Linked DNA regions of Cricetulus griseus. The protein of the gene in region 5 binds, or shares a complex with, the protein of the main gene of each other region. Links are inferred from orthologs where the notes say so. Each region holds a gene or a part of one and is shown on either strand. Other genes may lie near its edges. The genes, in order: Rbmx2, Sf3b2, Rbm48, Gpkow, Eftud2, Snrpd3 and Snip1.

Region 1 (3,970 bases), on a different chromosome or scaffold from region 5:
ACACACAGATGATGTCTCCTTCTGTCAGTTCATAAGGAAGCCCTCCTAGAAGAAAACAAAGCACAGTTCAGGTCAGCAAACATTAATCAAGTGTTTACTGCATATTATGCACTGGGCCAGATACTGGAGGTGCAGAGTGAGTAAGCCCTGAACTCACAAAAATCAGTCTAATGCAATGACAGAGGATGAAAAGTGACAACAGTCCAGCAGAAAAGCAATTAACTCTTGGATCTCTGTGAGTTTTAGGCAAGCCTGGTCTACAGAGTGTGTTCCAGGACAGCCAGAACTACAAAATGAGATTGTCTCCAAAAACAGGAATAAAAGTGATTAAGTCTAAGTGGAAAGGGGTTACCACTTACCAAATTAATTTTTTTTTTGGTTTTTTGAGAGAGGGTTTCTCTGTGTAGTTTTGGAGCCCATCCTGCCACTCGCTCTGGAGACCAGGCTGGCCTCAAACTCACAGAGATTCACCTGCCTCTGCCTCCCGAGTGCTGGGATTAAAGGCATGTGCCACCAACGCCTGTCTTCCAAATTAATCTCATTCAGTCCTCACATCCAAACTCCTATAAAACAGAAAATTTCCTGCACAAGACTCAGATTTCACAAACATTGAGTTCAAATATGCTATTGTTATGCTCACCTATGTGTAAACTAAGAATTTTAAAGAAAACTGTTAGGCAAGTCACAGGAAATTATTTGCCTTCCATGTTTTTTACCTCCTGTGTAAAAAGGGGCTATCAGTATATTTGCCTCACAAGAATGTTATAAACACAAAATAAAACGGTGCATATAAAATGCTTAACACAATATCTAGTGAAATAGCCTCTTTCAAAAGTCAAACTGCAGGATTATTGGTTGTGACATAAAGTGAACAAAGGATAGTAATATTGTTCCCAGAGATATTAAGAGTTCCCCTTTGTAGGCTCTTAGTCTTGTCAGTAATTTTAAAACAGACTGAGGAAGCCTGAGATCCATTTTATTAGCATTTGAGAGAGAGCTGATGGGGAGGTGAGTTGTAAAATTTACCAGCTACTGGGAGGAGGGAGATGGACAAGACGAAGAAATACGTAGTTAATCAGAAGGCCATGCAGGCAGGCATGCTCAAAAATGGCGGCTAAGAAACAGCTGCAAGGGAACGGGAGAGCCTGTAGACTTGAAATAAGAAAAAGTCCAGAGTGTTAGGGCAAGCATGCTCAGGATTTCAGACAATATTCAAAGAAGGGCTAGAAAGGGAGGGGATGGATAAGTTAGATGTCAGAACAGCAGACAGATGTAACAGCAATAGGTAATAAGTGCAGTGAGGAACTCCTGCGGGACATTGCTTCACTAAGGGGATCATTTTCCTTCCATGTCCTCAGCATGTCTTCAGGTGAATGAGCTTTCCTGACAGGTGACTCCTGGCCAACTTTATTAAGTCTTAAGGAAGGGACACACTAGTATGTGGCAGTTAGGTTTGCTTAAAATGTCCCATCATATCCACCCAGGACCAAGAGTGGAATGTGGACTGTATTTTCACCAGGTGTATAGCTTTCCCTTAATGAACACGCCTAGATACCGCGACCTTTTCAGATGACATTCTAAATTTTAAGCAGGAGTAAAGCTGATTTTGAGTGAGGAGTCCACACGAAATATTTTCCAGATGGCTACTGTCTGTCCAGGAACCCAACAATCAGCAAAGTACTAGAAGCAAAAGTCAATCACAGGAGAAAATAGTTTTGCGGAGGGGCAGACAGTAAAAATGAAAATAATGACCACTAATCTCATAGTGCTGCAGTATGTAGTATGTAACCTTAAAGAACTCTAGTCACCTGTCCGCACCGCACTTTCTTTGGCCTCGTAATGTGTTGGCTGTGGAGTTAACTGTCTCTGGGCAGCTAAGTGGAAAGCCTTTAAGTGCAATGAATGGTAAATACCAATTCTAAGAAGCACTGGCTAAGCCGGGCGCTGGTGGCGCGAGACCTTTAATCCCCTTTAATCCCAGCACTCGGGAGGCAGAGGCAGGCGGGTCTCTGTGAGTTCGAGACCAACCTGGTCTCCAGAGCAAGTTCCAGGATAGCCCCCAAAGTCAGGGAGAAACCCTGTGTCGAAAAACCAAAAAAAAAAAAAAAAAAAAAAAAAAAAAAGAAAAAAAAAGCACTGGTTATCAGAAAAGATAACTGGAAAAGGACGAGTAAAAGAGAATAAAAAACGGACTGTGGGCAGACAAGCTGTGTGGGTGACAAGCGTGGTCAGCAGGGGCTCTAAGTAACCGGAGCGGGAGGGGGGTGGGTCGCAGCGACTCCGAAAGGCACTGCTAGAGAAAACTGTGGCCCTCACCAAGAAAGATCCAGGCGCTGTCCTTGTATTCCGAGTGCCAAGACACCTTTTCCGCCACCCCGAGTTGAGCCTCTCGCTCATTCAGTTCGTTGATCAGCTTCACCTTAGTTAAAGGGCTGCGCGGGAGGAGAAGACTTCGTTAAAAGTTCGTTTCCTCCCAGCCTGCCTTCTTCTCCCGCCCCGAGGCCTGAAGGCCCCACCGCCCCGGCGAGGACCCGTCACCGTTTGTGGGCAACTGTCCGCAACCCACTCCCCCTTCCCGACGAAAAAAACGAAGCCCTTACTTCATATTCGCGCCTTCGCGCTCTTCTCTCAAGAAATGAGCTTCCGGGTGAGGCGACGAAGGGCGGGCACAACCGATCACCCAGCTCAGATTGGAGGCGGCCGAACTCGAGGCGGAACTTCCGCTGGAACTTCCGCTCCGGCACGTTAAGACTTGGCGCATGCGCAGTAGCGTGGAAGCCTTTCTCGCGCTTAGTGCCCTTTGCTCCTGTGGCGAAGTAGTTCTCCAGTCAGTTAGTCAGGGAACTAGTTCCCTAGTGACGTAGACCAGGGGCGGGGTCCGGGGTTTTAAGGGACCTTCAGCTTCTGGATAGTTTTTGTTTGATTTAGCTTTAAACGTTTTCTGAATGAAGTAGTGTGTCTGATAGGGTGACGAAACTCCCTGTTCTCTCAATCTAAAGCCCTGTTCTTTCCCTCCATGGCAATTGCTCAAAAATAGTCCCTCAAAGCCTCCCTGTTTGGGATTTAACAGTAGAAAAGTAAAGAAAATAGCTATGAGAATTGTTTCCCCGCTCGAATATTAAAGACGGACCAGTGTGCCTCTACAGACCCAATTAAATACCCACAGATTTACGTAAGAAATGTGGTCTTACGCCGGGCCTTGGTGACGCACGCCTTTTATCCCAGCACTCGGGAGGCAGAGGCAGGCGGATCTCCGTGAGTTCGAGACCAGCCTGGTCTCCAGAGCGAGTGCCAGGACAGGCTCCAAAGCTACAGAGAAACCCTGTCTCGTGATCAACACGCCCTACTGGATTAACTGACTTTATTTTTTTTTTATTTTAAACTTCATTATTTCAAAAACGATTGCAAGTTAAACACTGAAATTAACCAGACCCAAAGACTCAAATGGACTTCTATACTGTTAGAATAGCATTGAGAACAGAAGCTGTGGAACTTCACATTGGATTTTAGGCTGTCACTATCAAATATATTTTTATTCACTTGTCCACCAACAAAACCAAAAAATATGATATCATTAGAGCTATAAGAATTTGATTTATATCCCCTTTTACTTGCATTCAGTCCATCCTCACCTAATATTTAGCCTTTCTTGTTCTTTTTTCTTCATGTTACATGGCACTCACATGTACATTTGTTCACGTATATGTGTATATTGTTAGCTAAATTCTGCATATAAGGGGGAAACATGCAGAGTTTTTCTGAGATTGTATGACCTCACTTAATACACTCTAATCGCATCCATTTTTCTACAAATTTTGTGATTTTATTTTTTCTTGATAGTTGAATAGTTTGCCACCTTTCATATATGCCAAATTTTCATTACCTATTCTTATGTTGATGGACAGTTAGGCTGATTCTAATTATTTACTATAGTGAATAAAGAAGTAATAAACATGAGGATGCAAATATC
Region 2 (4,237 bases), on a different chromosome or scaffold from region 5:
CCTTTAATCCCAGCACTCGGGAGGCAGAGGCAGGCGGATCTCTGTGAGTTCGAGGCCAGCCTGGTCTCCGGAGCAAGTGACAATAGGCTCCAAAGCTACACAGAGAAACCCTGTCTCAAAAAAAAAAAAAAAAAAACATAAAAGTTAGGGAGAGAAATATTACCCTCTTCTGCTGCTCTAAGAGCTATGTTCCTTCAATGAATGATTTCCTTGCTTAAAAAAAAAAAAACTCATGCCAGCAACAATACAACCAGGCCAATCTGCCAAAATTCTTGCTTCTAGGATTCTCTGCCAGCTGTTACCTAGGTCTTGGTCTTCAACCAAGACCTTCCTAAAAGGCACAGCCTCCGGGTCTAGCTTTCTGGGGTTCCATTTCCCCATCAGGGACCTAAGGTGACCTAGGTAAGGTTTCCACCTGTCCTACCTGTTTGGCACGTTCCTCTTGCTGCATCAGCAAAGCTGCCTGCTGTTGTGCCAGCTTCAGCCGTTCCTCTTCTGATAATGCCACAGGCTCACCGACTCGGAGAGGAGGTGGGGGACCCAAATTTGGTGGGTGAGCCATAGGAAAGCCAAGGCCAAGGCCTGGTGGAGGTGGTGGAGGTGGAGGAGGAGGTTGTAGAGGGGGGAGTCCCATAGGTGGTGGCGGCATAGGAATCCCAGACAGCTGTGGAAAAAAATATATAGCTATGAACTAGAAAGCATTTATTCACTTTAGAAGCATTTTCTAGCTAAAGTTCTAAAGGGAACTAGCAAAAGAGCCAGGCATTCAAAGTCTAGTGATGCAGAACTCAAGAAAATGCACCATAGCAGAATCAAGAGAAGAAAAGGCTAACTTTAGAACACTGATCAAACAAAGCTATTGGGTCCTCTGAAATTGCATTCAATTTAAGAAAATACAAGAACACCTCTAAAGTCTATACAGGCACTTAACAAAACACAAACACACACACACACACACACACACACACACACACACACACACACACACACACACACACACACACACACACACACCCCACCCACCCAGGCCAAAGCCACTAGTTTAGAGGAAGACACTCAAATACTGGATTCCAAAGGAACTTAAACAAATAGGAACCAGTACTGGAGAGACTGGACCAGCAGTTAAGAACTGCTCTTGAATCACAGGGTTCAATTCCCAGCATCCAGATAACAGCTCACAATCCTCTGTAACTCCAGCCCCAGGGTGATCCAAGCCCCTTTATGGCCTCCTGTAATGCTGCATGCACATGGTGTACAGACATGCACGCAGGCAAAACACTCATATGCATAAATATGTGTATATATTCACATACACACATATATACACACACACATATACACACACACACAGATACTATTTTTGAGATACAATTTCTCTGTGTTCTGGCTGTCCTGGAACTCACTCAGTAGACCAAGGTGGCCTCAAACTCAGAGATTCACCTGCCTCTGCCTCCCAAGTGCTGGGATTAAAGGTGTTCACCACCACTAAACTTTAAATATGTTTTTTTAAAGAAATAGAAACCAATGTGCCAGGGCACAGACTGTCAATGAATTACTAAATGCAGGAGGTATATAATAAAAAAATCACAGCATTACCCCTTAAAGTGTCAATGAATAACTTTGGGAGCTATGCCTGATAACAAAACACATGACTACATCCAACTGGGAGAGAACCAAGTATGAATTCTAGGTATTCAAGTTGACTCTTGAATGACAGGTCAAATTTAGAAGAGCAGACATTGCGGACTGATGAATACCGGCACAAAGCCAGAAGTGAAAAGGCCCCAATTCTGTCTCATCAGACCCCACCCTTAATTCACTATATTCTTATCTCCAGTGCAATGCATGGGAGAAAGGTTATCCTGAACAGAATGACCGATAAACAGTCTCTTACCTGTGCTGACATAGGAGGAGGAGCAGCTTTGTCCCCATCTTCTCCCCTTAAAACAGGTCGATTCAGCACAATGCCCGTCTACAAAAGAAAAGAGAACTGTGTGTCAGACTAAGAGGGAACTATTCCATTGCACGGCCTCCTCCACCATTTATTTAACAAAGTGCACCCGATGCCCGTTTGCCAGAGATTGGGGCTGTAACCTTTACAATAAAGCAAAGGCAAAAACTGACAAAACGGTCAAGACCCGACTTGCCGCGATGAAGTACGTAAGAAACGAAGACCCAGCCGGGCGTGGAGGCGCACACCTTTAATCCCAGAGCACTCGGCAGGCAGAAGCAGCCTGATCTCTTGAGTTCCAGGCCACCCTGGTTTACTGAGAGAGAGTTCTAGGACAACCAGGTGTACACAGTAAAACCCCGCCTAAAAGCTTTTTAAAAAAATGTAAAAGAAACGAAGACCGATCCGTGGCCTATCTTAAAGGCCTCTAGGAAAAGTAATCTTCAACTCCTGCCACAACTCACCTGGCGGGTGTAGGTCTGCAGCCGCTCAACCAGCTCCTCGCGACTCCCTGCGGAACCAAGCACAGAATCCGGGGTCAGCACCAGCCGGAACAGCCCGGCTTGGCCAGGTCGGGCCCCAGAGGCCTGTCTCCGCCCCCCGCCCGTGAGTCTCCTGGGTAACCAGGTCCCACTGCCCCGCAAGCCCACGCAGCCCCCTTTGACCGCCCCGGGAGCCTCACCCTGGATCGGAGCTCCTATTTCCGCCAGTTTGGCCTGAAGCTCCTGAGCAGCCCAGGCGCCATAGTGGCCTGGAGGTGGCGGCGGCGGCAACTGCAATTCTCCTTTGGGAGGCTCTGGATGCTCCGCCGCCATCTTAGCCACAAGAAGGCGCGCGACCAACACGGAAGCTCGGATCAGCCACCGGGCCTACTTCCCGGAACTTCCGGCAGAGCACTCCGCCACGTCCCGCGGTGATTGGAAAGCACTTGATTCAGACACCCACTCACTGCCTTTCGCTGGGAGATAGGATTCGCCGCTAACAAAGGCTGCACGGCCTTCTGGGAGTTGTAGTCTACGGTTGCACCGCCTAGAGGCTGGACGCTTGTTTTAACATCCCGTACCCTGTGGTAGATCCGCCGCTAGGGCCCTGAGAAGACCCGGCCCTCCACCCATTGGTTCCTTTCTTCTTCTCCTCACCTGCCCAAACGCATACTAAGTCTTCTGACCCGACACTCTCGGTGATGAGGTACCTGGATGCTTATTCCACCCAGGAGCTCATAGAGACTGCTTTCCGGCGCCCGCCAAGTGGGAGGTTGGAGCCGATGCCTCTGATAAAACAGTGTCCGATTGTTTGCCTGCTCGCTCCCGGCCCAGGCGTGCTTGAATGGGCTGAAAGGGGATCGGAGCCCGTAGAGGAACGGACCCGCCGGGCTGAGTTCCAGCTGCTGACTTGGGGGAAGGGCGATACCAAAATCCCTTTTCCACATTCGAGAAAGGCTTAAGAAAATGCCTTCTCTGCCAAATGTTTCCTCTCCTTTCTAGGAGCTTTCATACCACACCCAACTTTCCACCTTTTGTTTTCAAAACGAAATGTGCACCACTTGCATGCCTGATGTCTGTGGAGGCCAGAAGAGTGTCTCCTGGAACTAGAGTTACAGACGGTTGCAGGTCCTCTGCAAAAGCAACAAGTGCTCTTAACGCCATCTCTCCAGTCCCAAGGTTTTCGTTGTTTAAGTAAGTGTATTACAAATGTGAGCCAATCTATTGCCCCTTTTTGTTTTTTTTGTTTTTTTTTCGAGGCAGGGTTTCTCTGTGCAACAGTCCTGTCTGTCCTGGAACTCGCTCTGTAGACCAGACTGACCTTGAACTCACTTGAGATCCGCCTGCCTCTGCCTTCCAAGAGCTGGGATCAAAGGCATGTGCCACCCGCGCCCAGCTGTCCTGTTTCATTTTTAAGTCTTTCGTACCCTTTATTCCTACCTCCATTCCCAAAACAGGAGCAAGAACTTGATCTTTTTCTATCATGAAGCATCTAGCATCCAGGAGCCACCTAATAAATGATTGTGTGGGGGGGATCTATCCCTGGGATTTTATCTTCTTATAGGAAGAAAACACTCAGACTCTTTTCTTGGGTGGAGACCCCATGACCCTTGCCTGCCAAGCATCCACCCATTCATTTTGTCTCCTCACTTCTCCCTTCTAGTTCTTCCTCCACTCTCGATGCAGCCTGTTTGTTCTTGTGTGTGATGAATAAGGGAGACGAACACAAATGGTCTCATTTCTCACCCACACACTTCAGATCTTTTCTCTTCCTAGCCACCTCCGTTTCACCAGCTGTCCCCAA
Region 3 (3,500 bases), on a different chromosome or scaffold from region 5:
AGGAAAATACATCAAAAACAAAAAGTAAAATGAATAATTACAATGTTTTAGTTCCTCCAAATAATTTCCTAAATAGTTGCTGACTCTACAACTAAATTATCTCAATTAAAAAACAATTACCTCACCTCTTTAAGTTTACTCCGAATTAAATTTGCCGTTGTATTCAAGGAGTCATCCTGCAGATCCACTGTGGGAATTCCTGGTAACTTAGGTCCAATCACAACCTCGTTACTGCCTGTGTTTGTTTCAGGAAACATTCCAAGTTCATGATCACAGTTTCTCCTTCTTTTCCTCTCCTGCAGCTGTGTTGTCCTAGGCATAAATCTGCCGACTGACTCTGAGGTAGTAATGACCTCTTGCCCACTAGAGCAAGGTAGTGAATTCTTGTAAGTGTTCACCTGTACTTTTGGGGAAAAGGCACTGTAGTTACAATGCTCTGATAGTTCACTATGGTTCCTACCGCTACTACAGGAATTTGATGCTCTGTCCATATGTTCCCCAGGTAAAAAGTTGCTTTGAGAGGCAAAATAGCATAAAGGCAAGTCACAAGAATAAGGAAGAGAAGGACTTGAGTTCTCAGGAGAAGTGTTCAAAGAAGTTGTGCAAAATCCAGGCATATGTGGATGGAAATCTTGTCTAGAATCATTTGCTCCTTTTTGCTCTGGAACCAGTTTCTTCTTTGTCATGTAATAGTCTTCAAAGTTGTATTTTTAGACATTGAGGGAAAGATAAACAAATGTTTCATTAATCATTTTGATCATTCAGAATCTTGTAATTCTAAAACCACACTCTACTCCCCAAATGATACTTCCAGAGCAGGGAAGGCACTGATAAGATTTAAGGGCTTTCTGAAAGGATAGGAAAGGGTACTGTGTCAAGCTTTCCCTTCTCCTTGTTTTCCCTACTTATTTAGTGTATTGTCTTATTCATCTATCTAAAATGCCTCACAGTTCCCCTGGAGCCTCCTTGTCTCCCTAGTCAAAAGATAATAAAAATCTATTCTTTTACATTTTCCACTAACTGTAATCTTAGAGAGTTTCCCATACCATTGCGTAGAAACCTTTACAGTTTCAGAATATTCTACTATATGGATAAACCATGTTTAGTTCCTACTTGTGTCAGGAGAAACTCAGTTGGACATGTGGACATTTGAACCAGCTGCTGATCAAAAACTGGAGTTCTCCCACCAGGAGTAGCACTTCTAACTGGTTTGCAAATCACAGTTGCTTCTTGCTGCCTTCATGTTAGTCACTGGATTGCTTAGCAGGTGACACATGGCACTTCATGATTTGCTTCCTGTCTACTTTCCTAATTTCTCTCACTAAAACCTTGGTATTTTGGTTACCCTGTAGGACTTACAGCTCCTTAAACGCATGATGGCAATTTATTTCCCCAGCTTTAAACGTGTAGCCTGACTCACCCTGCCATCCTCTCCACTCCCCTTCTGATAACATTTGCTAAAATTCAACCATCTCTCAGATCCCATAGGAAATATTCCAGGAACCAACACCCTGTCTTTCTTGCCAAGACTGTACAGTGCTACACAGAACCCTGTGGTTCAAGTCACCAAAGGCCATAACTGAGCAGGGACTCCACAATGACACACATCCCTAGTAGTGCCCCATACACAGGGAGTGTTTACAACAGACTTTCCGTACCTTTGTTTTTAGTAGCTCTTGCAATGTAAGCCTTTCTTTCTTCTAATTTTTTTCTAGTTTCTTCAACTGTCTCAAATTCTGGAGCATAGCATACATGAAGTAACCCACCAAAGAAACTCTGCTCATCCATCTTTTTCTTAGCTACCCTAAAGGGAATTAGATAATTTAAAGAGAACTCAAAAGAGAAACACATAAATTACATGGCTTTTTATTTATGCCTTATATACACGTGTATTCTGCATTCAAGTATATGCTCATGAGTACAGATGCCTAAGGAGGCCAGAGGTGATGGAGGCCCTGGAACTGGAGTTACAGGCAGTGGTGAACCGCCTGACATGAGGGATGGGAACCAAACTCCAAATTTGAGATCTCTGGAACAGCGATAAGTGCTCTTAGCTTCTGTGTCATCTCTCCATCGCCCAGATACATAGCTTGTTTTCTTTCTTTCTCTGCCTCCCCAAGTACTGGGATTAAAGATATGTGCCACTACACCCAGAAAATTATTATTTTTATTACTTTCAATTATGTGTAAGTATGTGTAGAGGCTCTGTCCTGGAGCTAGAGTTTACCGACACCTGACCTGGTTACTAGGAATCAAACTCAGGTCCTGTGGAAAAGCAGTCCATGTTCTTAATTGCCGAGCCATCTCTGCAGCCATGGCTTTGTAATCCAGATTTACCTAAGATAAAAGCTTAATAGGTATTCCATAGGTTTAAGGAGCAAACTGTGTGTGTGTAGGGGGGGGGAGATAGGAGGCTGGGTAAGATGCTTTGTTTTGGATGATGCCACTGATCCAGAAAGTACTATTTTTTGTTTGTTTTGTTTTTGAGACAGGGTTTCTCTGTATTGCTTTGGAGGCTGTCCTGGAACTAGCTCTTGTAGACCAGGCTGGCCTCGAACTCACAGAGATCCTCCTGCCTCTGCCTCTGGAGTGCTGGGATTAAAGGCGTGTGCCACCAATGCCCAGCTCAGAAAGTACTCTTAATAAAAAGATTTATTATCTATTTACTTGTATGTATGTGTTCTGTACATTTGTGTGCATGTGCCCACAGAGAGAGACCAGAAGTCACTGGATCCTGTGGGGCTGGAGTTACAAGTGGTTGTGGGCCACCTGACAAGGGTGCTTGAGAACTGAACCCGTTCTCTGAAAGAGTTGCAAGCTATCTTACCACCCAGCCATATCTCCAACCCCAAGAAATTCTTTTCTCTCTACTCATAATCTCAATAGGTATTCAGCTAAGCTAGTCACACTTACCTATTCTTTTTTAAAAGAATAACTCAGGATCCTACTAGTTAGCTTGAGTTAATAGAACTTGTGAGCCAAATATATAACTTGAAGCTGGTAAGATGGCTCAGCATGTAAAGGCCTTTGCCACTAAGACTGAAGACCTGAGTTCAACCTCTGGGGCCCACATGGTCGGAAAGAACCGTCTCCTGTGCGCGTAGGTACACACGCACATGAACAAGTGGAAACAGTGAAAATACAACAGCTCACCAATGCAAAATTAAGAACTGTTGCTCCTTCTGGGGCTGGAGAGATAGCTAAGGGGTTAAGAGCACTGACTGCTCTTCCAGAAGACCCAGGTTCAAGTCCCAGCATGGCAACTCACAAGTGTCTGTATAACTCCAGCTCCAGGAGATCTGATGATCCACAGGGTCCTACATGCATACAGGTGAATAGGCTCACACAACCACACCACATACACACAAAAATAAAAGAGAAAGAAATAAATTGTTTTCACTCAAGAGATACTGAATACCTATTCTGAACCAACACTATAATAAGTAATCAAGTACTTCTGTTATCTACAGATAATGATTAATTCTTATTGAGATATTACC
Region 4 (2,338 bases), on a different chromosome or scaffold from region 5:
CCAGCCTGGTCTATAGAGCGAGTTCCAAGACAGCCAAGGCTACACAGAGAAACCCTGTCTTGGGGTGGGGGTGGGAGTATCTCTAATAAATATTAGCAAAGGCCCTCCTGACAGGATCAAGCCAGACTGGCCTTTTCTGTGAACCTCATTCCCCTCTCCCTCATCTGCAGGCGTGAGAGAAGACATGCTGGAAACCCTGATTCCCAAGGGAGAGGGCCGTCGTGTGATGGTGGTGCTGGGAAAACACACTGGAAAGGTGAGTTCCTATGCCTGGGAATGAGTGTGGAGATCACTGAGGATCTGGGCCGACTTTGCTAACTCTCTACCCCATCTCTCCTCAGGTGGGACGACTTCTGAGTCGGGACAGTGTGAAGAGTCAGGGTTTGGTACAACTTGGGAGAGACAATCAGGTGGTGGAGCTCCACTATGACGCTATCTGCCAGTACGTGGGCCCCAGTGACTCAGATGAAAACTGACATGTGGACCACTGCTGTCACCCAGGCTGTCACTATTGTGTAGCAATCTACAGCAGCTGCCATGGAGAAGATAATTGTTTTGTCCTCCTTTGAGCTGCAAGGACAGGGACATGAGTAGATAGACCAAACTGTCTACCAAAATTTAGAGTGTATAATAAAAACCATTTTTAAAAGTGGAAAGGTGAAATCAAAACCAATATGTGAGCTTTGAATTTAGTTGGGAACTGAGATGACTGAGGTAGAAACGCCTTCATTTCTTAGTCTCATTTCCCTGCTCAGAGTTCAAGACAAGTTAAATTGCCTATCCAATACAGAGCTCACTCGTGGAGCATAGAAACTGTGAAATCTGCCCCCAAACAAACACTATAGAATCTCCAGTGCTACATCTCAGAACAGCTTCTGTTTGGATCTTGAATGGCTTTCAAAGGCCCATATCTTTCTTTTTAAATGTATTATTTTTAGTTATATATATGTGTGTGCCTGTGTGAGTGTGTGTGATTATGAGTACAAATACTTTAACCAAAAGTGTTAAGTCCTCTGGAGCTGAAGTTACAGGCAATTGCAAGCTGCCAGACATGGGTGCTAGGAACCAAACTTGGGTCCTTTGAAAGAGCAGCAAGCACTCTTCACCACTGAGCCATCTCTCCAGCTCATATATCTGTATCTTAAAGGATTCTTGCCCAGGATTCAGCACCTATTTTTGACCTTTGAAAGATAAAGGCCTAGTAGAAATTACTTAGGTTATGACTTAGAAACCTCCAAAACTGTGAACCAAAATAGACTTTTCCTCCTTATACTTTAATTATATCTGGGTAGTTTGTCAGAGTAAGGGGAAACTGACTACTGCTCTCAGTGAACTCTAGGACAATTTCTTGCTTGCCCTAGGTGACTGTGTTCTAAGCCTTTTCCCTGCTTAATGGCCCAAGATAATCAGCAAGAGAAGTCAGAGCCTTAGACACAATTGCTTCTAAATCATCCTTGAAGCTTAAGTCATTCATGCAGTAAATGGTAATTGACTTAGGTCTGGGCCACAGGTAAAACTACCTAGTCTGTTATCCTGTTGCACACTGAAAAGAATCAGAGCATCCCAGAATAGGATGATAAAGAGATGGCACTCAGTGTGTGTCTACCATATGTAAAGCCTTGTGTGTTCCATCCACAGTACCACCAGGAAAAAAGGGAACCAGAGGCAAACTGAACTCTGACAAAAATGAAAAAATATAAAAAGACTTGAGTCACCAAGTGTGGTAGCCCATATCTGTCATCTATCACTTGAAAGGCCGAGACAGGAAGATTCGCGTGAGTTCTAGGACAGTCTAAGCTTCATCAAAAGACCCTTTCTTCAAAAACTAAAAAAACAAACAGTAAATGTGCTGGGTGTGATAGCATACACTGTTGATCCCAGCACTCAAGAGGCAGATCTCCATGAGTGTAAGGCCAGCCTGGTCTACAGGGCAAGTTCCAAGTCAGTCAGGGCTACATAGTAAGAGCCTGTCTCAAAATAGAAATAAGGGGAGTGTGGCTTTTCTCCTTCCTATTATCCCTTTTGTGTCTCTTGTCTAATTGCTATAGCAAAGACTTTGACACTGTATAAAATAAGATAGGGGCAAGTGGGAATCTTTCCTTATCTCATTCCTGATTTTAGAGGAAATGCTCAGTATACCTCCATTTAATATATGTTGGCTATAATATAATGTTGGTTTATTGTATATAGCCTTTATTATTTTGAGGTATTTTCCATCTATTCCTACAGACTCCAGAACATTTATCACAAAAACATGTTGAACTTTGTCAAATGTGTTTTCAGCATTGACTGAAATAATTAATGTGATGTCTGTCCTTGAGTTTGTTTATATGATGTA
Region 5 (3,500 bases):
GGAGAAACACTACACGTTTCTATGCAGTAAGTTACCGTTTCCCTAACAGGTTAATAAGCCACGAGACAGACTGCTCATTAGCACCCTGGGAAGACTAAAATTTTTTTCTTCTTCAGTCTCAAGACTGAACCTAGAGGTCTACAAATGAACCACAGTCCCAGTTCCAAGTGTATCTGCTTGATGGGTGCCCAGTATCTTTGGGCTGATGGCCAGTCCAGAGTTAGTATAATCTTTAAAGGTCCAGACACCTTTAATTGCCATTAGACGAAGAACCCATGGTTGCTAAGGACCCTTCCCTTGTCCCTCCACCACTCAAACTTTCTGAGATAGGGCGTCACTATACAACCCAGGCTGCACTGGAATTTCCCATGTAGACTTGATGGACCTTGAATTCATGAGATCTGCCTGCCTCTGCCTCCTGAATACTGGGCTTAGACATGCACCATCATGCCCTGTTTCACAGCTATTTTTTAAGACAGCACCTTGCCCTGTAAGTCAGGCTGCCTGAACAGTGCTATATAACACATGCTGGTCTTAAATTCATGACAATCTTACATCAGTCTGTTGAGTGCTGCGATTACAGGCACTTGTTCTTATTTACAGACAAAAATCAGTCACAGAAAAAATTAGTCTGGCCTGGTTCCCCCTAAAAGCTGCAGGCCAGAAGCAAAACTCAGGTTTTGCCAGGTGTGGTGGTGCACGTCTTTGATCCCAATACTTAGGCAGCAGAGGCAGGAGGATCTGTGAGTTCAAGGCCAGCCTGGTTTATATAGTGAGTTCCAAGACAGTCAGACCTGGATAGCAAGACCCCGTCTTCAAATGAATCCAAGCCCCTGTGAGGACAATATGAAATGTCCCCCACTGGCTCCAGGCAGGAGTACCGTCTGGGGAGGCTGCAGAACTGTGAGAATGTGGGCCTAGCAGCAGAGTCAGTTACAGCTGGCTCCGCTGCTAGCCCAGGCTGTCTCCTGGTCTGTGAAGAAGGAGGCCTGGCTACCCACTCTCATTGTGAGCCCTACGTGCCTTTCCCTCCACGACGATGCACCCTCCTAAAGCACAAGTCGCAATCAACTGTTTCTGCCAGGTGTTGTCATAGCGATGAAGAAAACCAATCATCTCCTGAGTGCTCCTCACCTGTGCCTTCCCTGCTACTCCACATCCCTGGCCATCCACCTTCCTGCCTGACCCCAGTAAATACTTCAGAGCCTAGAGCCTGCCACTTATCTCCGTCACCTGCAGGACCCTCCTGACGGGAGAAACCTAATTCCTTTTTCTAACACAAGAAACACCTAAAGAAAACAGCTGGAAAAGCCACCTCAGTTGGTTCACATGCCCTCACAACTCCTCTGCCCTGCAGGGAAGGGAGCTTCCCAGGTAAGCCATGGGAGGACACCTGAGGCTGTTCTTGTTTATTTTCTGAGACATCATGTAGCCCAAAGTGTCCTGTAAACAACTGATCTAACCACTGAGTTAGAGGACTGCCGGTGTGAACCACGATGCCCGGATGAGGAGAGTAATGTCCAGGGCTTTGAGATATTTATTACCTGTGAACTCGCCAAAGAACTTTTTGCAGACCAGCCTGAGCAGAGGGCGGATGTTCAGCTTCAGCTCCTCCTTGGTCAGGTGGATGCCAAGCTCGTCCAGGGTCCTTGGCAGGCTGGTATCCACATCACCCACCACCTGTGAGAGAAGAAGGCACTGGGTCAGCTCTGTAGTGACAGCCCTAGTGAGACATTACACACAGAGTGAGGGGAGGCCAAGCAGGCTTCTACAGGGAGGAGTGAGTAGACACTACCTAGTTTTCAGGAGTGAAGCTGACCTGGTTAAGTCTCCGAATGCCCCATAAAGTAAGCATTCAGCTTGATTACTGTCAGTGCTGCCCCCTAGTGTCTGACAAGCAGCATTGCGCCCACTCAAGAAATCACCCTTACCCCTCCCTACTTAAAGTCTGCCCAGATTTAGAGGCCCACACTGGAAGGAACCAAAAAAGGCCACCTGTCAGGACAGAGCCATGCTAAATCATCCTCGGCAGACTCAAGGTCTCTCTACAGAGGCAGATTCTGTAAATTTCTTTTATTAATCCATTCCAGCCTGACAAGAGATACTAAGTGGGTTTTTTTTTAGCACTGGTAAATTTTAGTCATTATTTTATTCTACTGCTGTGTTTTCCTCTTTTGTGGGTAGGAACGGCCACACACATTGTGTGCATGAGATCGTGTATATGTGTGTCCACTGGACGCAGCTCTAATTAAACACCTGCATATTTTATTATTGTCTTGGAAGAAAAGTCTGCATAAAAATTCCTATGATATTTTCACCTTTCCAGCTCGGTACTTCAGCACAAACTCACATAAACATGTTTCATTCTAAAGTCCAACTAGCCCTCCCCCTTCCTCCTTCCTCGTGTGGTCCTGAGGATCAACCACACAGGTGAGGCAAATGCGTCACAGTTACACCATGATTGACCTACGCAGGTTTCCAGTGACAGAGACATTTAATTGACTTCCAAGACCTGTTCTTACCTTCTGTTTTGAGGCAGGGTTAAACAATTAAGTATTCTTAACTGCTAGACCAGCCCCCTCCAGGACCCTTGTTTTTTAGGGGCAGGGTCTCAAGTAGTCAAGGCTAGCCTCTAACTCACTATGTGGTTAAGATAACCACGAACATCTGATCCTCGTGTGTCTACTTCCCAAGTGCTGGGATTGCAGGCCTATGCCACCATACCTAGTTTTCTGCAGTGTTAAGAATTGAACCCTGGGCTTTGTGTATGACAGACATGCGCTTTATTGCACTGAGCTAAATTCCAAGACTCCAAAACCTTTTAAAAATTGTATTTAATTTTACATGTATATAAAATGCATTGAGTGTGATGTATGTGTATGATGCATGCAGATGCCCATGGAGTCCCGGAAGAGAGCACCACATGCCCTGGAACTAAATTACAGGTGTTTGTGAGCTGCCCAACATGGGTGCTGGAAAGTGAACTAAGGTTCTCTACAAGGTCAACAAGTACACTTAAGCACTAAGTCATTTTTCCAGCTTTCCAAGAGGTTTTGAAGGTTTTGGAGACAGGGGTTCTCTGTGTAGCCCTAGTTGTCCTGAAACTTCCTACATGGATAAGGCTGGCCTTGAACTCAGAGATCTGCCTGCCTTGGCCTCCCGGGTTCTAGGATTAAAGGTGGGACACTTCTCAAAAGGTTGGTTTTTGTTGTTGAATTTTTTGAGTCAGGGTTTCTCTGTGTAGCTTTGTAGACCAGGCTGGCCTGGAACTCAAGAGAGCTTCCTGTCTCTGCTTCCCTAATGCTGGGATTAAAGGCATGTACCACCACCATCTGACAAAAAGTTTGTGTTTTGAGACAGGGTTTCTCTGTGTAGCCCTGGCTGTCCTGGAACTCACAAAGATCCGCCTGCCTCTGCCTCCTGAGTGCTGGAATTAAAGGTGTGTGCCATTGCTGCACACTGCCTGGCTCAAAGATTTTTAATAAACAGTTGATGACGGG
Region 6 (4,059 bases), on a different chromosome or scaffold from region 5:
ACCTCAGTTTACACACTCTAAAGTAAATCAAAGTGAGCATTCATCTGTTATCACCGATTCTGGAGGGAACAGGGGGCAAGGGCAGCACAAAGCTCACACACAAGACACACTGCTTTCCAAGATTTAACCTGATAATGTACTAAGATTTGTGTCTTTGCATCACATGGGCTGCACTTCTGAGAATACCATAATCTAGTCAGACAAATTCCTGTTATAGTTGGGCTGTTTGAAGCCCACCTCGGTAAGTTTCATTAATTAGAGCAGCATACTAAATATATTAATAGTCACTATCCAAATTCTTTCATTCTACTCCCAAAACTAAATGCCCTAAAACAGACAAATACATCTTTTTTGTTTTGTTTATCGAGACAGGGCTTCTCTGTGAAACAGTTCTGGCTCTCCTGGAACTCAGAAATCCACCTGCCCCTGCCTCCTAGTCTTGGGATTAAACGTGTGCACCACCATGCTCAGCCTTCAGCTTCCTTTCTTATTCCAGAAACAACTGCCTAGAAGTGGCTTAGCCCTTAATAAGCTGGGCACTTACCCATCAATCACTAATCAAGTAAATGCCCCACAGAATTGCCTATAGGATAGGCATTTTCACAACTGAGGTTCCCCTTTCTAAGGTGACTCTCACTTGCACCAAGTTGACAAAAAAACTAAGCAGCACAATTACAGTAGTTTAAATGAAAAGTATCCTCCACAGTTGCAGGCATTTGCACACTTGGCCCCCATGTGTTGGTGGGTTGTTTTGGGGGGGGTGGGATGAGGGGATGCAGCCTTGCTGAAGGAAGAATGTCACTGGAGGCAGGCTTTCAGATTAATACCCTCCAACACTTCCAGGTAGCTCTCATTACTTCAAGCTTTCTATTGAAGATGTAAGCACTCAGCGTCCTGCTATTACCATTTCTCCCCTCCACGATGGACTCATTCCTTTGTAATTGCAAGCCTAAAAAAACCCCTTCTAATGGTGTGTTATCACAGCCACAGGAAATAACTAATGCAAACCCTAAAAGGCAATAGTCAGGCCACCTGACCCACAGGTGTGATTCTAAATAATGTACTTTCCCTCTCCAACCTTTACTTTTCTCATGTGGAATACAGTTAACAGGCACCAGTTATTGCACGCAAAGCACTGAGCTGGCCACTGTGAACACACAGCCATCTGAACTCTCTATGACAACTCCAAGGTATGTGTATTAGACCTGGAGCAGTCAGAGATATTACCTTTCACCCACAGTTCCTTCACAGGTGCAAAGCAAGGTACCTGGCAGTTCATGTTGTCCTCTGCTTCAATGAGCTTCCCTCGATACACCTCGCCAGTGTTGGTCTCACAAGTTACGATGTGGCCCTCAGCCTCGTGCAAGACTTTAATCGGCACACCGATAGACATCTTGGCAGGAGTGTTCCTGTGGAAGAGAGAGACAACAGCTGTCTTTCAGAGCTTAAGAAGGACTGGCATACCATACCCTTTGCAAATATGTCAGAGCTGCATTTTCTTTCTTTCTTTCTTTCTTTTTTTTTTTTTATTCTGAGACAGCGTTTCTCTATGGCTTTGGAGGCTGTCCTGGAACTAGCTCTTGTAGACCAGGATGGCCTCAAACTCACAGAGATCCGCCTGCCTCTGCCTCACGAGTGCTGGGATTAAAGGTGTGAGCCACCACCACCGCCCGGCCTAAGCTGCATTTTCTGTGGAAGGAGTCTGACTCTTGGTTTGAAGGAACCACCATGGCAAGGACACACTGCCTTCGAGCTGGGAAGGATGGCAAGCAAGCTGGACAGAAGAGGCTGGTGGGAATGAAGAGTGCCTCTTATCTATTCCCAAACACATGACCCTTTATAGTCACCCAAGAACTATGATATGGACCTCAAAAGCAATCACTGCTTACCTGTAGCTATTCAACTGAAATATAAATTAAAAAGCCCCTCCCCTCCCAGTCACACTAGTAATATTCCAAGTGCTCAGCAGACATAGACCCTGATAAGATAGCAAGGCGTTCACAAAGTGACAGGAAATGCTCACAGGAGCACCATCAGGGTCGACGCTCGATTTAAGCCTCAGTAAAAGACGGAGGCTAAGCGCAACTGTGATGAGCGTTCCCACCTATGTCCATGAGAAGGCTATAAGGATGCTGGGCGCTGTCTCTCTTGGTGAGGAACCACGGCTTTCAACTTAAGGAGTGTGAGTTTTATGCTGAAAACGGTGGAGGGGGGGGGACACAAAAGGGTCATTGCCAAAGGCTCAGTAGAAAACAAAAAGGAATAATAGCAGCATCTGCAGGATAGCTCGAACATGGCCCTTCTGCAGCACAGCGACTCGCTAAGACTCGTGCAGCAGTCGTGGAAGGCAGGGGAGGGCCAGCGCCGGAATCCGAGGGGAGCAGGGATGCAGAGGACGCTGAAAAGGAGGGCACACAGGGAAAGGGGGTATTTCGTGAGAAACGACTGCGGGCGAGCTCCGAAAATCGGCGAGCCGGAAAGGCACAGAACGCGCAGACAGGCGTAAACGAGGAGCTGCTCCAAGCGCGGGTGAGACGGTGTTTGGATCGGCCCAGGCTTCCCGCCCGCCATTAGTGCCCCGCTGAGCTCCTCCGCAGGCTCCCTTCCTGCCCCTAACCCTCCGGGGACGCCTAGGCCTCCTCTTACCGGTTCTCCGCCTCTCCTCACCGGCTCCCTTTCGGCCCTGGCACAAACGTTACACGGCGAAGGCGTGAAGCGAGGGAATGGCGGGCCCGGGGTACCCAGAATACCACGCGTTCCCAGGATACCGCGCGCAGGGCCCCTCCTCTTCCTTTCCCCAGCGGCGAGAGCGCTCTGACGTATGCTTCCTCCTTAACTCCGCCGGCTCGGAAAACGACGGCTCTGGCATTATCGTTCCGGCCCTGGAGAGGACCCGGGGGGCCGCCGGAAGCATCCGTCCTCGAGCCCCAAAAGGAACATGGAGACCCCCCCCCCACTTACAAAGTACTCCAGGGACGGATTGGGCGGGAGCTAGGCTGGAGCCCCAAAATTGCTGTGGTGCCACAGGAAGTGAGGCTTGGACTAGGAATCTAAGCTTTGGATCTGGTCGCCATCAGGTAAGCGGCGCACCGAGCGTGGGAAACTGGCATTTTTCATCGTGTGGCTAAGACCGAAAGGGAGGCAGAGGAGGATTCCCGGGGCGTTTCGATGAGGCAGGCACTGCGAGGGGCCGGCGCTAACACCCGGGGCTGCAAAGGAGCAAGCCGAGCGGAGGGGGTTTGGGAGGAGCCAACGTCGCTATGGAAGGGCCTGGGGGCGGGGCCCGGGAGGGGCGGGGCTTCCGCAGAAGGCGGGCCCTGCGGGTCGCTCTTTATGGGAGAGAAGTGGGTGGGCGAGGAGGCGTGGCCTAGGGGAGGGGCGGGTCTCCAGGCCGGGGACCTGGCAGGGACGAGGCGGGGCTTGAGGCGGCCTAGCCCCCGCCCACCCGGCTCTGAACCGCGGAGGCGGCGGCGGCGGCGGGCGGCGGTGGCGGCGGCGGCGGGAGGAGGAGGAGGAGGAGGAGGAGAGGCGGCGGCGGAACTCTCCCCACACTGGCCGCGCTCGCTGCCCAGCACAAGTCGCAGCTGCGATCAGCTCCAGGCCGGGGCCATGGGCGCCCTGCGCCACCCGGGTCATGAGGACGGAGGCAGAGGCAGCGGGGCAGCCGCTCGAGCCCGGTCAGTGCCTCTCAGAGGGCCTTGCCCTCACCGGGGAAACCGAGGGGGACTCCGCCCTGGAGCTGGGCAGGGTCTGGCCGCGCGACCTTGGGCCGCAGGCGGCCTCAGCCCAGACTGGAGCTTCCAGTGGACCTTAGCTAGGTGGATGGATATTCCTTCTCGTCTCCCGTCCTCCGCTTCTGGTTGTTTCTCGGGGAGTTCTGAGAGCAGTCAAGTGCAAAAGTCCGAGGGGGCAAAGGCACTGCCTTCCCCAGAAACGAATGGTCCTGCTTGAACCCCGTTGCGTGATGCTGTTCCTAGGGGGAACTGTGGAAGGCCTGGGGCTGTGAAGGGGGAAAGAACGGCCTGAGATCCCTCAGCAAAGGGAAGGGCCTTTTTTTTT
Region 7 (3,500 bases), on a different chromosome or scaffold from region 5:
TGGTGACAACCAAAGCTTACTGAGATTCTCTGCTCTAGGGTTTGTCACCAAAACAAAACTCCTGGTCCACAAAGCTCAACGACTATATAAATAAGAAACTGTACAAAGAGAACAAGCCACAATCCCCTTTCCAAGGGCTTAAGTTTCCTGTGCAGCAGTTCTGAAGGCACCCACTACAGCCACACACTTTGACCAAAACTCAACATGCTGTAATTGGTGAGATTGTTCTGAAAACAAGCGCCCACAGGCAGGCGGCTGCTGTGCCAAGTTCAACAAAACACGAAGTGAGAGTTCTCATACTGCAACACAAGCTGGGCAGCAACAGAGAAAAGACTTAAGGCAAGAAGAGGCGCTGGAGTCAACCCCATGGCCTCCAGGAGGAACGGATTCTCATGGGGGAGGGGGTGGGTGCTTCTCAGTTGCTAGCTGTCAGACACCATTTCCTCCTCCTCGTCATCTTCGTCTTCCTTTCTATCTAGTTCAGATGTGTCTGAAGACTCATGGAGCAAGACATATTCTCTGCTACTGAACCCAAATTTAAGGACGTCTTTTTCCTTCAGTTCATAGTACCTCTGTGGTTCAATACGCTTGTTGTTTAGGAAGGTCCCGTTGCCTGAGCCCAGATCAATGATGTAGGGTTTCACCCTCCGACCAACTGTGCCGTCAGCACGAGTGTACTCCACAAGCCTAGAAGAGACCAGTGAGAGAAGCATGTGAGCAAGTCCTACCAGGGACCATCTACTCTGCAGCTCTCTGCTACAGATCTAGATGTCACTGACCTGACTCGAACATGGTTCAAACAAAACCTCTGGAAGGTCACAGGGGAAGCACTGCCCTGGACAGGGAAATTGGGAGCAGTTTAAATATATCTAAGAGAAAAAGTAGAGCTGGCTGTGGGTGGTGGGTGGGGATGGAGGGCCATGAGATATCCCAATGTAGAACTCAAGGCTTCTTGCTATGGCTACAAATATACTTCCTCCAATGCTGTACAGCTATTTTAGCACCAGCCCAAATGGGGAAAAACATTAGAATGAGATGAGACTTTCGTGTCAAGGGCGGGATATGAGACAGAGCTCTGCTCTGAAGATCATTACTGCTACCAGCAACTGTGCTGAGCTGCAGTTTTCCCAGATGTCAAATGAGGATGTTAACACTGGTCCTGTTTTCCCACGGGACTGTGGAGGATCAGATAGTAACGGTAATATGATCTAAGCAGCAGATTCAGCCAGCATATACCTGGCATTCTGACTCTGGCTTATACTTGCTTGGCCTTCTGACACCTGAGATTATAGGCCTGCACCACCGCAATGATAGCGGCTAATCTGGGTTTCTGATATCAAGTTCAAGATTCTCACACAAATGTTAAGAGATTACTCAAGGACTGCTAGACTCTTTCAGCCCAGCTTATTAGATACAAGGTGTAATGGCCTCTTCTGCATCTCCACAAACAGCATAGGGGTCCTCAATGAGACACTCACCCCAGCTCCCTTTCCAGTCCTCCTCCTGGTCTACCTACCGATACTGGAAGACTGCGTGCTGCTTTGAGCAGGAGGGATGGTCGATGGGAATGTCGGCGATGCGGCGATGTCGGCCCAGAAGGTAAGCACTCTGCCGATGGATGTACATGACGGGAAGTACCTCATCATTTTTAAAGGGGTACAGACGCCACCGTTTTTTTGGGATCCGGGCTTCTGGGGGCTCACTGTACTTAATAACCACACCCCGGAAGGTATTGGTGTCCTCAAGAAGTGCCCCAGAAAGTTCAAAGCTTGGTTTTTCTTTAACAGGCACCTCTCTGCTTCTGTTACCAGCAGGGCGAGGGATCACCTCCTGAGCTTCACCGCCAGCACCTTCATTCTGCTGACGATGCTCCCGGCGCCTGGCATTATGAAAGTCCCTTTCTTCTTCCTGGGCCTGCAGAATTTGGCTGTCTCGGTCCCGACCCTGACCACTGACAGGCCTCTCATCAGAGCTCCTCTTTTGGCGGGAATGGCCCCGGTGCCGGTCTCGCTCACTGTTACGAGCTCTCCTCTGCTCCTGTTCTGATGGCTCTCGGTGCTGCCGATCTTCTCGTCCTCTCCGAGGATGGTCCTCACGTTCCTGAAATTAAGATGCATTCAGTAAAGGAAAGACGGCTTCTACTCTGTGAATAAGCTGTCAGGGCTGGGGAGATGGCTCAGCAGTTAAGAGCACTGACTGCTGTTCCAGGACCCAGGTTCAGTTCCTAGCACCCACATAACTGTTCACAATCTGTGACTATCATTCCAAGGGGATCCAATGCTCTCTTGTGGTAAGCATGGGCACTGCATCTATATGGTGTAGATATCCATGCAGGCAAAACACCCACACACATAAAATAATTAAATCCCCCAAAATGAACAACACATCTATAACCTGAGTGCTGATGATATTCAGAGCAAATTCCTATCTACACAAGACTATCTGTTCTATTCCCCTGGAGTGTCATCTGTGGTAGTTCTGTTCCCCTGGAGGGCCATTATGACTATACTCCATGCTGCTCCTCAAATACAGGCCTGATAGCCCAAGCCCACATCCAGAGCCCTCAAAACAAGAGGCTGATACAGAGGGAAGGAGAAATAATATTCCCATCAGTCACCTGCTAGCAAACTCACAGGGCAGCATGTGTAGAAAACAGAACAGAGTAGCCAGGTGGTGGTGGTGGTTCACTCCATTAATCCCAGCACCTGGGAGGCAAAGGCAGGTGGATCTCTGAGTTTGAGGCCAGCCTAGTCTACAGAGTGAGTTCCAAGACAGCCAGCCAAGGCTACACAAAACCTGTCCTCCCTCCAGAGAGAAAAAGAGAGGAAGGGAGGGAGGGGGAGAGAAGGAGGGGGAGGGGGGACAGAACCATTACATTTATGTAAAGGAAAAAGTCAACTTCCTCATAAGCCAAAAAGAAACTGAAATAATTTCAAAAGCTCCAGCTTCAACAATTACATACTAAAAATCAGCCTGGCATGGGGCTGGAGAGATGGCTCAAAGGTTAAGAGCACTGACTGCTCTACCAGAGGTCCTGAATTCGATTCCCAGCAACCACATAGTGGCTCACAACCATCTGTAAAAAGATCTGGTGCCCTCTTCTGGCCTGCAGGCATACATCCAGACAGGACACTGTATGCATAATAAATGAATAAATCTTTAAAAAAAAAAAATCAGCCTGGCAGAAACTACAATACACATAACACACCAGTAGATCAATGAGAGACTGATGGTGGTGGCACATGCTTTTGACCCCAGTATTCAGGGGGTAGGGACAGGCAGGCCTCTGTGAGTTTGAGGCCAGTCTGATCTACAGAGTTCCAGCATGCTATTACACAGGAAGGCTATCACACAAAGAAATGCTGTCTCAAAAAAACAAGGACAAAAACAGACCAATGAGAAATCAATCAGTAATCAGCCAGTCCACAGGCAAAGCCTCAACAGCAGTCTCCAGAAGAAGCTAACAGTTAGTGACCACCTGTCTCGCTAGGAACCAGAGG

Evidence for each region.
Region 1: Eftud2 (region 5) and Rbmx2 share a complex: the UniProt entries of both Homo sapiens proteins name them as parts of the minor spliceosome. The link is inferred for Cricetulus griseus from reciprocal best matches to the Homo sapiens genes EFTUD2 and RBMX2.
Region 2: Eftud2 (region 5) and Sf3b2 share a complex: the UniProt entries of both Homo sapiens proteins name them as parts of the minor spliceosome. The link is inferred for Cricetulus griseus from reciprocal best matches to the Homo sapiens genes EFTUD2 and SF3B2.
Region 3: Eftud2 (region 5) and Rbm48 share a complex: the UniProt entries of both Homo sapiens proteins name them as parts of the minor spliceosome. The link is inferred for Cricetulus griseus from reciprocal best matches to the Homo sapiens genes EFTUD2 and RBM48.
Region 4: Eftud2 (region 5) and Gpkow share a complex: the UniProt entries of both Homo sapiens proteins name them as parts of the minor spliceosome. The link is inferred for Cricetulus griseus from reciprocal best matches to the Homo sapiens genes EFTUD2 and GPKOW.
Region 6: Eftud2 (region 5) and Snrpd3 share a complex: the UniProt entries of both Homo sapiens proteins name them as parts of the minor spliceosome. The link is inferred for Cricetulus griseus from reciprocal best matches to the Homo sapiens genes EFTUD2 and SNRPD3.
Region 7: Eftud2 (region 5) and Snip1 share a complex: the UniProt entries of both Homo sapiens proteins name them as parts of the minor spliceosome. The link is inferred for Cricetulus griseus from reciprocal best matches to the Homo sapiens genes EFTUD2 and SNIP1.

The regions. Positions count from the first base shown.
Region 1 is NC_048604.1:20,792,335-20,796,304, forward strand, and holds the start of Rbmx2 (RNA-binding motif protein, X-linked 2), read right to left. Parts: upstream 2,801-3,970; 5' UTR 2,762-2,800; coding exon 2,601-2,761; intron 2,433-2,600; coding exon 2,317-2,432; intron 46-2,316; coding exon 1-45. UniProt on the Homo sapiens protein: Involved in pre-mRNA splicing as component of the activated spliceosome. As a component of the minor spliceosome, involved in the splicing of U12-type introns in pre-mRNAs.
Region 2 is NC_048596.1:54,019,650-54,023,886, reverse strand, and holds the start of Sf3b2 (splicing factor 3B subunit 2), read right to left. Parts: upstream 2,801-4,237; 5' UTR 2,767-2,800; coding exon 2,634-2,766; intron 2,463-2,633; coding exon 2,416-2,462; intron 1,973-2,415; coding exon 1,895-1,972; intron 665-1,894; coding exon 425-664; intron 1-424. UniProt on the Homo sapiens protein: Component of the 17S U2 SnRNP complex of the spliceosome, a large ribonucleoprotein complex that removes introns from transcribed pre-mRNAs.
Region 3 is NW_023276806.1:221,961,466-221,964,965, forward strand, and holds part of Rbm48 (RNA-binding protein 48), read right to left. Parts: intron 1,805-3,500; coding exon 1,659-1,804; intron 695-1,658; coding exon 126-694; intron 1-125. UniProt on the Homo sapiens protein: As a component of the minor spliceosome, involved in the splicing of U12-type introns in pre-mRNAs.
Region 4 is NC_048604.1:114,172,703-114,175,040, forward strand, and holds the end of Gpkow (G-patch domain and KOW motifs-containing protein), read left to right. Parts: intron 1-170; coding exon 171-256; intron 257-341; coding exon 342-476; 3' UTR 477-1,838; downstream 1,839-2,338. UniProt on the Homo sapiens protein: RNA-binding protein involved in pre-mRNA splicing. As a component of the minor spliceosome, involved in the splicing of U12-type introns in pre-mRNAs.
Region 5 is NC_048600.1:115,271,214-115,274,713, reverse strand, and holds part of Eftud2 (116 kDa U5 small nuclear ribonucleoprotein component), read right to left. Parts: intron 1,681-3,500; coding exon 1,545-1,680; intron 1-1,544. UniProt on the Homo sapiens protein: Required for pre-mRNA splicing as component of the spliceosome, including pre-catalytic, catalytic and post-catalytic spliceosomal complexes. Component of the U5 snRNP and the U4/U6-U5 tri-snRNP complex, a building block of the spliceosome.
Region 6 is NW_023276806.1:263,063,379-263,067,437, forward strand, and holds the start of Snrpd3 (small nuclear ribonucleoprotein Sm D3), read right to left. Parts: upstream 2,801-4,059; 5' UTR 2,647-2,800; intron 1,410-2,646; 5' UTR 1,394-1,409; coding exon 1,268-1,393; intron 1-1,267. Other genes in the region: protein GUCD1, read left to right, coding at 3,635-3,677. UniProt on the Homo sapiens protein: Plays a role in pre-mRNA splicing as a core component of the spliceosomal U1, U2, U4 and U5 small nuclear ribonucleoproteins (snRNPs), the building blocks of the spliceosome.
Region 7 is NC_048595.1:27,983,365-27,986,864, forward strand, and holds part of Snip1 (smad nuclear-interacting protein 1), read right to left. Parts: intron 2,101-3,500; coding exon 1,517-2,100; intron 688-1,516; coding exon 423-687; 3' UTR 1-422. UniProt on the Homo sapiens protein: Required for pre-mRNA splicing as component of the spliceosome. As a component of the minor spliceosome, involved in the splicing of U12-type introns in pre-mRNAs. Down-regulates NF-kappa-B signaling by competing with RELA for CREBBP/EP300 binding.